Linked DNA regions of Oryzias latipes. The protein of the gene in region 3 interacts with the protein of the main gene of each other region in a biochemical or structural test. Links are inferred from orthologs where the notes say so. Each region holds a gene or a part of one and is shown on either strand. Other genes may lie near its edges.

Region 1 (3,166 bases), on a different chromosome or scaffold from region 3:
CGCCTGTCGTGTTTGGAGGAAGAGAAATGCTGCTGATGACCCCAAGAACACCATCCCCACTGTCAAGCATGGAGGTGGAAGCATTATGCTTTGGGGTGTTTTTCTGCAAAAGACTACTTCATTGTGTAGATGGGAGGATGGGCGGAGCCATGTACTGTAAAATCTTAAGTGACAACCTCCTTCCCTCCTCCAGGAGGCTCCAAATGGGGGGGGGGGGGGGGGGGGGGGGGGGGTGGATGGTTCTTCCCTCATCCCTAAGCTGGTTTTTAGTTTTCGCTATACACAAGGATTTTTTAGCTTGTTTTTTATTTTGACACAAAATGATGTGATGCCTGACCAACTCGGAAAGCAAAGCATTTTCAAATTAAGAGGAGACAAAAATCAATTCCATTGAATTTTTCCACTTCTTTTGAATCAAAAATAATGTGGAGTACTAAAGAACCTAGAGCACAAAAATAAGAAAAGTGAGGACAAAACTATATTTTGTAAAACTAGTGCCCTCAGAGGACCACCTTCCTTATCAAGAAGGAATGTTTTTCGGATATAACGTGCAGTTAAGAGTTTTAACCAAGCAGCGATTTGATTCAAAGGACGTCTTTAAAAATGCTTTAGGTGACATAAAAGACAAGAAAGGGTAAGAAAAGGGATTTTAATGGGTAGTTCATTTGCATTCCAAACCTTTGAGTCATCATGAATGAGCATTAGAGATATCAGTCTGATTACTACAAAAATATAACCTTTGTGAAATCCTCCTGCAGCATCATTGGCTGTTCGGTTCCTGTGCTTCAGACTCTAAAAGCAAACACATGAGAACAGATAACCAACAATCGCTGAAGGTAAAATCCATTAAAAAGGATCATTAAATGCTGACTTAGAACAGAGGCATAAAAAAAAAATAACAGCCTTAGGGAATTGGAACCACAAACAAGGCTCCTCCCATCATCCAACAATGACATAACACTGCTTTCAGCACCAACTAAAGCCAGACATTTGACAGCAAAAGGAAAACCGCTCACCGATTCCTTTCAAACAGCAGCAAAGAACAAAAGCATTTTCCGGTCATGCCTTGATCCGAGTGTCGTCCTTTTAAAAGTTCTAACATTATTAGAACATTCAACAGATTTAAAATGCTTTCAAACTTACTACACGTGGCTAAACCTTCAAATGTTTTCTAAATGACACAATTCTCTTTGAGTTTGCCAACATAGCATCGAGGACTGATGGGTCATTGGTACCAGAGAGATTAAAGCCTCGTCTAGAACTGACATGTAGATCCTGCTCTGCAGCTCAAACTGTCCCTTTAAAAAAACAAAACAGGACTGAGTCCGCGGTCAGAGCTGGAAGCTGAGGCGGCACTTCCTGTTCCACATGCTGCGGTCGCCGTGGGACCCCGGGAGTTTGCTGGCGGGCGTAGGGCGAGCCACACTAGAGAAAGGCATGGAGTTGATGCTGACGTGAGGCATCTCCTTCTTCAGAGACGGCAGCTGGTTGTCCTGCACGAGGCCGAAGACGTCCAGCAGGCGCAGAGAGGGCAGCGTCTGTCCCAGATCCCTGCAGGAAGAACACAGAAAGTTGAGTCTGCAGAACTTCAATTTGTTCAAACCAACCAGATTTTCACTTTTCAGCCAACAATCAGCATTTACACATTTCCACCCTTTTTCTGCAAAGAGCTTATATTTAAACAAAGAACAGAGCACATGATCCTATATGCATCTAAAGAATGATGAGTCAGGGGTTACTGAACTGTAAAGAGACAAAGCTACAGCCTTACGGCTTACTGTGACGATTACATTTAATCCCAATCAAATTTTAAAAAAGACTTAATTTTACCACCTACAGGTGACTGAAAAGAAGGACCAACTGAATATCCTGGTTCATGTTTAATGAGCATGGTCCATTGTGGTCCAATCCTCTCTCATTGCAATGATTCATTAGGACGGAGGACGCTGAAGATCCACCCTGCAGCTCCAGGTGAGGACTTACGTGAGAGCAGCCAGGTGAATGTGATAGCAGCGACTCAGGGACAGGTGCTGCAGATCCTTCAGCTGTTTGAGAACCAGGAAGCTGTCAGCCATCAGCAGGGTGCTGTCACTGAAACACAAAGACTTAGTGAAATTCTGATAGAGACAGAACTTAGGAATCCAGTTCATCTGAGGAGAACCCTTTACTTAAAGACCCACTCCAATTAAAAACTGTGTTTTTAAAATGTTTTTGTGGGATTTTTCTCATGATGGAGATATATAAAGATAATTAAGCACCAACAAATCCATCCACAACTCAGAGGTGGATTTCTATATAACTGCTCTGTGTCCTAGAGAACCACACAGGCTTTTGATTGTTGCTAAAAACAGCATAAGCGTACTTAAAAGACAACTGGGAACCCTTTTACAATAGATGATCGGAGTGGGACTTTAATGAAGAGCAGTTCTGAATGAACGCATCTGGTGTTTCTGTTTCTCTGGGCTGGAGCGGGACGGTACCTCAAATCCAGGTGTTGAACTTCAGGACATCTGTCAACCAGGATCTTTACATCTGTAAAACACGCACGCCATTCCCATCAGTGACAGCAAAAAGATTTCATGATTATTCCCAGAAACTATCACACTTGGCATTGCAGGAAAAGAAAATTGAAAATAAAACTAAAAAAATGTAATGCATAGAGTTTGGTCACACTTCCATTTCCCCCTGTATGCATTATCACCTTGAGTTTAAATGTAAAAATAAAGAAAGAACTTTACTAACAGGGGTCCTGATTACAGACTTTGTGGAAATCAGATCCGATTAAAAAGGAAAACACTAAACTATAACAGCATTAATCATTTGAACAGCACTAACAGGCTTTATGTGCAGACTGGAGGATTTGAAGATGGGCTATGGGCTCACTGGGTGATCTACAACCTTGACGTTATGTGCGGGCCCCCCCACATGCTCCATATAGACCCGTGAGGGCAGTTGTGACTAAGCTATAACAGCTTGTGTTGTCTGATTTCTGTTTCCATCCTCTGGATTGGTTGGTTAAGCAAACAAAGCCTCAAACAGCTTTGCTGTTGTAAAAACCAGTGTGATCAACCGTCAGTCGAATTTCTCCTCGAAGGCACTTCTGATGTAGAACTGATGGAGGAGTCCCCTTCCTATGGAATCAGGTTTCCACGGCTTACCGTCTAAC
Region 2 (2,476 bases), on a different chromosome or scaffold from region 3:
GCTGTCACCGCCCTCCTTTTGCGCTCTGAGCAATTGCCCGTATTACCTGTACCTAAAATCGCTACTTCTGCGCGTTCGCATCGGGACGCGCCCCACTATTTGAGAAGCACTCCTTTAGTACAACCAGTATGCTCTTCTAATATATTAATCCATGTCAAAAATATTTAAAATTAATTTTCCTCTCTTTTTGTTTTCTAGCTGATGATCCACCCTGACCAGGTCAGACGACCTTCGGCCTCCGACCTCATTAGACACCCGGTGCTCCTGACCTCTGCCAGAATGAGTGCAGACCAGCTACGAGTGGAGTTGAACGCTGAAAAATTCAAGAATGCTTTGCTTCAGAAGTGAGTACGACAGGTTGGACGGCGTGGAACGTGGAAATCATCGCAGCGTATCTTACAGTCATCAAAAAGTCAAATGCTGAACTGAAACTGGTGCAGATGTTCACATAGGAAATGTAAACATTTTTCAGCTGTATTTTTAGAACTTGTAACTGACAATACACATTAACCCTTGTGCTATCCTAGGCACTTTAACATTGGGAGTTGGGTCATCTAGACCCACTAGACAGTGCTCTGAGCCTTTTTTTCTTCACTGATTTGTGATCTTCACTGGTGTCCATAAATTACATGAAATCCTCTCCACCTTCTGGTAGAGATAACACGTCAATATAAGGGTGGGGTCATCTGGACCCCACAAGATAACACAAGAGTTAATGAACAAACAAAAACAGTTGCCTTTTCAAGATGAAATTTCAGTTTTTGTTCTCTCTTTTGTTAAAGAAGTCTTTAAAAGTCTTTTTGCTGCCGTTTTGTATTTGACTGACCACTGTGGCCGTTTGAATGAGTTCTTGTTTCTTTCTCTGCAGGGAGCTGAAAAAAGCCCAGATGGCCAGAGCAGCTGCTGAGGAGAAGGTTCTGTCCACCGACAGAGTCCTGACCCGCTCCACTCTCCAGTCCAACCTCCGAACCTCAAGACTAATTGGAAAAAAGATGAACCGCTCAGTCAGCCTGACAATCTACTAAGACTTTGAAGCCAACTCTCAAGGCTTAAGGACCTCCTAACCAGACTTGGTGTGTGGTTTTTATTCTCCTGGACTGCTGCCACACAGAACTGGAAGTTCTTTACACCTTTGTTGTATAGTTGAAACCTTCTGCCCATCTGTGTCTTTCTTGATCAAACGGTCATCCGTCAAAGGCCGTTGCTTTACCCTTCACAGTCCCGGTGTTGCGTGGAGATCAGGCTCTGCACCGTTGTGTCCTTGCACTTCCCCTTGAAGACGCTGAAACCCTTTAGTAGCAGATCAAAGCTGCAGTGAAGCCCTCTCCCGTGTGAATGTACTTGCCTCTACCATGTGCACCTTACTGCCTGTCATAAGCCTGATGCTGGGTGCAGGACTGCCTGAGGATCGATCACGTCTCTGTTTGTAATGGAGCACTTTGAAGGCACCGTGTGGTCACAGTGTTGGCCACGTTTTGTTTTGTTTTGCAAAATATGAAAAACAAACTTGCTGCTATTGAGTAATTTTTTGTGTATCAGGGTTTGGTCAGTTTCAGCTGGATTCTTCTACAGATAGTTGGCTTTTATTTTCAAATATAAACCAGTCATTTGCATATTTAGTTTTACTGCTTAGGAGTGAAATCAACTGTGCCATTTTGGTGAAAAGAGACCGTTAGTTTGAATGAATCCGGCCTTGATCAGTGCTGCCAGCCCTCCCTGTAGCATTAGAACAGCCACCGTCCTGTTCGTCATATTTTCATGTGTTCTGCTGTCACAATTCCAGCTCGTCCTTTTAGATTAGTTGTAATCGTCCGTACGTTCTTGTAGCTTCAGACACAAGAGCTTCATGTTGTAACATGTACATAATGTTCTTTAAATAAAACCTCATCATTTCTCCTCTTCTATTTTATTTGTGCTGTTTTTGTGTTTTCTTCTTGTTTTATAGGATCTAAAAGCATTGGGATAACTTTCTGTGAATTTTTTGAACATGTGGATGCTTGACCTTTTAGTCTGGACCCTTTTGAGCGCTTTTTACTCTTTTTTTTACAATGTGCTCAATCAATTTTGTGGCAATGATTGTTATCTGGCCTCTTTATTTTTCTTTACAGATAGGAACACAGAGGTCCCACTCTGATTTTTAATAGAACATGAAAAAAATCCAAAAACTCAATTCAAAGTTGCATTTTTAACTGGAAAAACCTAAAAAGTGTAGACAAATGTAATCTAATAAATACAAAAATAAGGCAAGATTTAAAAAAAAAAAAAGCAACACTCTATTCCTGGGGATATCACAATTCTCTCATAACTTTTGCGTTGTTCTTTTTAAACCAAAATGTTTCCAAACTGAAAACCTTTTTGAAAGTTGAAGTTTAAATTTTCAGTGAAAACTATGCTAACAGGGCAGTCGCTGTCAGTCCTACGTCACTGTAAACAGCTGATGTGTTTGGCAAACTCTGAGTTCAGAGACTACTGAGGG
Region 3 (3,759 bases):
AAATACATAAATTCCAGTGTTTCATCTGAATTAGAACCACGTTACTGCAGAGGGCTACTTATGTAATTCAATAATTTATACCAACATAAAAGTGATTACTTGACAATGATATTTCAATTTCGATCTCTTCAAATACATATATATATATATATATTTATATATATATATATTACAATGAATACAAATAGAAAAGTTGAACAAAGGAAAAACTTTTTTTTCTTTTTGTTAGTGTAAAATTTGGTTTACAAAAGTAGAAAATTAATAATATTTTCTAACATACTTTTCTTATCCTGTGGCAAAGATAGTCCATTGGAGTCTATACTTTAAGTTTACTTTTTATACACTATATATTGAAGACATAAAATGTAATAATTTATTCTGAGAAGTATTCTGTTAGTATACTTCCTGTACTGCATGTACATGGAGTATAGTAGGCGTACATTTGCTGTAATTATACTTAGGTATACTTAAGAAGTAAACTTTAGGTGTACAAGTGTACTACTTTTTTGCCAAAAAGTTGTCAGGAGTGGTTATAATCTTTTGGGATTTCAGTTTTATCTCACTAACAAAAAACAGTGTGAATGTGTTTGACAAGGAAATGCTGCACTAACAAAGAAACTAATAAAACACTTAAAAAGGTTTTGTCTCAATTGAAACTTTGAAGTCTTTTTATTTTTATTTTGACTGTTTATGCTTTTTTTAAAAAACTTTTATGTATTATTACTTTTGTTGATTCATTTATTGAATTATGTGTTTATTTTTTTTATTTTGTTTATTTTATTATTATTTATTTCATTTTATTATTATTATTATTATTATTTTTTTGTTATTCAACCTCATGGCAACTTCAATAATTTGCACTTGGTGTGAAATTCTGTATGTGCAATGTTTGTCAATAAAGTTATTAAAATTAAAAAAAAATAATCTCCGTCTTTGATTTTTGTTTTTTAACTGATGGTTAAATTGGAATATAAATGCATTTATGAAAATGTATACATTGATAAAAAAAAATGTTCCAAAAATACACATTATTTGTGGGCGTTAAACTTTTTTCCCTTCATATTTAACCGCTTTTACGTAGCTTTCTGGTTCCTTTACGCCGTAGACCATGTGACCAAAGAGTGCGGCTTGTTTATTATTCCGTTATACGCCGGAAGACGAGGAACTCATTTCTCCAATTACACCAGTTCGCAATAAAATCATTGGATTAAATACAATAAACATAGCGGTCTACCTTCACCAGTGCCATATATCAGGACTGACTTTAATTACTGCTAAATTCAAGAAAAGGGAAAATAATAAATTGCTTCTGCTCTGAACGGTACGGTGTGTCTCGAGCACAAAAACGAACGCCCGCAACACAACGCGGGAAACGCCGTTGTGTTGTTTTCCACCGCGGAGCAACCACCGGGCTAATCCTCAATTTAGGGGTTAGTGTTACTACCTGACAGATGTTCACCTGTCCGTTTTTGTGTGCCGCTCTCTGACCGGAGAGAGTTTGTCCTCGAACGGGACCCCTTGGTTTGGTTGTAGCCTGGACCGCATGACGAAACCCGGAGAAGCGGGTAATTGTAGGTCGGTCCCCGCGCTGCTTAATGCTTGTAGCCTCCGAGAAGACGTTAGCTCCGAAACAAAGAAAGAGGTCCGGTCCGATTCTGGTGGGAAATGGATACGTTTCAGAAAGTGGAAAAGATCGGAGAAGGGACGTATGGAGTGGTTTACAAAGCTAAAAACAAACTGACCGGAGAAACGGTTGCGCTGAAGAAAATCCGACTGGATACGTAAGTGAAAAGTTCTTCTTCCTGCTGGTTGAAACCTCTGAGAAGCGTTTGTTGTGATTCAGATTATCTCAAATGCTTAATTCCAGTCCCCTCATGAAACAGTTTCATTAATTACAGAAAAGACAAAACATTTTAAATTCACTCTATGTACAAAGACCTAAAAAATAAAAGTAAATAATAATACAAAGTTGAAACAAAACTGACATGTTACAAAATAAAAGCATTCAGCTCTTGTTTGGTTGGTTTCACTGTCAAATTAAACCTACTCAGTTACATTTAAAATCTATTCACCATCTGTTTTATTCATCTCTATTTGCCTTTGGGGGTAATGGAACACTAAACACAATTAGTCAATAAATTGATCAAAAGTGATGATTACAAATTCATGTGCATTTGTCCATAAAGTTTTGGAAAAGCATCATAAACACAACAAATTGCTTTAATTTAAAATGATTCTTAATCAAAATGAATTATTGTGCAATAACTAGGAAAATTGTATTCAATTTATCAATGGGACAAAGGAAGCATTTAACTTCATAAAACAATCTCCGCTGATCCTTAAATTTGTGATTTCTTTAATCCAGAGAAACAGAGGGCGTACCAAGCACAGCGATTCGAGAAATTTCACTTCTTAAAGAACTCAGTCATCCAAATATTGTCAAGTAAGTGTTTAACCATGCAGAAATATGTTTATTTTGTTCAAAAGAATCCCATTTTGTGTGATTTTATGTTTTAAACCAACTTTTTTTTTTTGTCCAGGTTGCAGGATGTGATTCACACAGAAAACAAACTCTATCTGGTTTTTGAGTTCCTCCATCAGGACCTCAAAAAATTCATGGACTCTTCCTCTGTGACTGGCATCCCGCTGGCTTTGGTGAAGGTGAGCGTCCTCTTTAAAGAGAAGATCCTGAAACTGTCCAGACCTGATTCCTTGTTCTTACTGTCTTGTGTTTCTAGAGTTATCTCTTCCAGTTGCTGCAAGGCCTGGCTTTCTGCCACTCTCACAGAGTTCTTCATCGGGACCTGAAGCCCCAAAACCTCCTCATCAACGCCCAGGGTGAGATCAAACTGGCAGACTTCGGTCTGGCGAGAGCTTTTGGAGTGCCGGTCCGCACCTACACTCATGAGGTACAGTGTGCTCCTCCCTTTCTTCATCTGTAACAAGGTACGAATCGATCTGATAACAGCTGATTTTGTTTTTCTAATGTGGTTCAGGGATTTTTAGTGCTGGATAGTGAGAAAATGTTTATTTTAAAGGATAAAATCCCAAAATATGTATTTTCTTAGCTTTGCTCTTTCAAAATCTGATTCAGACCTTTTCTTGTCTTGTATCAGGTTCACATAATAAAACATTAGAGTCGTTCTTGATTCTTTGTGGTATCTTTCAGGTGGTAACACTTTGGTACAGAGCCCCAGAAATCCTCCTCGGCTGCAAATACTACTCCACAGCTGTCGATGTCTGGAGTTTGGGGTGCATCTTCGCTGAAATGGTAACGCGCTCGACCCCAAGACCAACTTCAATAAAGAATTAGGAGCACGCTGATAATAAACTGATGGTCTGTGTTCACAGATCACCAGGAGGGCTTTGTTTCCCGGAGACTCTGAGATCGATCAGTTATTCAGGATCTTTCGCACGCTGGGCACACCTGACGAAACGGCGTGGCCCGGAGTCACATCCATGCCCGACTACAAGCCCTCCTTCCCCAAATGGGCTCGTCAGGATTTATCCAAAGTGGTTCCGCTTCTAGACGAAGATGGAAGAGAGTTGCTCGGAGTGAGATTTTCTTCTGATTGCTACATGTTTTACTCTTTTCCTGTTAAATATCTGCAAACGCGTTAATTAAGAGTAATTGTTTTTATGTGTAGAGTTTAGAAAGGATGACAAATTCTCTTATGCAAATTATAACTTTTTCTGTCTACTGAAAAAAAAAAAACAATATTTTAAACGCAGCTCAGAAATATTGACTTGAAAAAACCT

What was found.
Region 1: the proteins of cdk2 (region 3) and skp2 form a complex in vitro, tested with the Homo sapiens proteins (3 studies listed by BioGRID, with this or other methods). The link is inferred for Oryzias latipes from reciprocal best matches to the Homo sapiens genes CDK2 and SKP2.
Region 2: of the proteins of cdk2 (region 3) and wee1, one has a biochemical effect on the other in vitro, tested with the Homo sapiens proteins (3 studies listed by BioGRID, with this or other methods). The link is inferred for Oryzias latipes from reciprocal best matches to the Homo sapiens genes CDK2 and WEE1.

Annotation. Positions count from the first base shown.
Region 1 is NC_019870.2:24,272,162-24,275,327, forward strand, and holds the end of skp2 (S-phase kinase-associated protein 2), read right to left. Parts: coding exon 3,159-3,166; intron 2,533-3,158; coding exon 2,481-2,532; intron 2,092-2,480; coding exon 1,984-2,091; intron 1,552-1,983; coding exon 1,332-1,551; 3' UTR 635-1,331; downstream 1-634. UniProt on the Homo sapiens protein: Substrate recognition component of a SCF (SKP1-CUL1-F-box protein) E3 ubiquitin-protein ligase complex which mediates the ubiquitination and subsequent proteasomal degradation of target proteins involved in cell cycle progression, signal transduction and transcription.
Region 2 is NC_019864.2:7,427,299-7,429,774, reverse strand, and holds the end of wee1 (wee1-like protein kinase), read left to right. Parts: intron 1-198; coding exon 199-344; intron 345-868; coding exon 869-1,025; 3' UTR 1,026-1,909; downstream 1,910-2,476. UniProt on the Homo sapiens protein: Acts as a negative regulator of entry into mitosis (G2 to M transition) by protecting the nucleus from cytoplasmically activated cyclin B1-complexed CDK1 before the onset of mitosis by mediating phosphorylation of CDK1 on 'Tyr-15'.
Region 3 is NC_019863.2:27,094,179-27,097,937, reverse strand, and holds the start of cdk2 (cyclin-dependent kinase 2), read left to right. Parts: upstream 1-1,346; 5' UTR 1,347-1,665; coding exon 1,666-1,781; intron 1,782-2,365; coding exon 2,366-2,443; intron 2,444-2,540; coding exon 2,541-2,661; intron 2,662-2,738; coding exon 2,739-2,909; intron 2,910-3,169; coding exon 3,170-3,271; intron 3,272-3,351; coding exon 3,352-3,555; intron 3,556-3,759. UniProt on the Homo sapiens protein: Serine/threonine-protein kinase involved in the control of the cell cycle; essential for meiosis, but dispensable for mitosis. Phosphorylates CABLES1, CTNNB1, CDK2AP2, ERCC6, NBN, USP37, p53/TP53, NPM1, CDK7, RB1, BRCA2, MYC, NPAT, EZH2.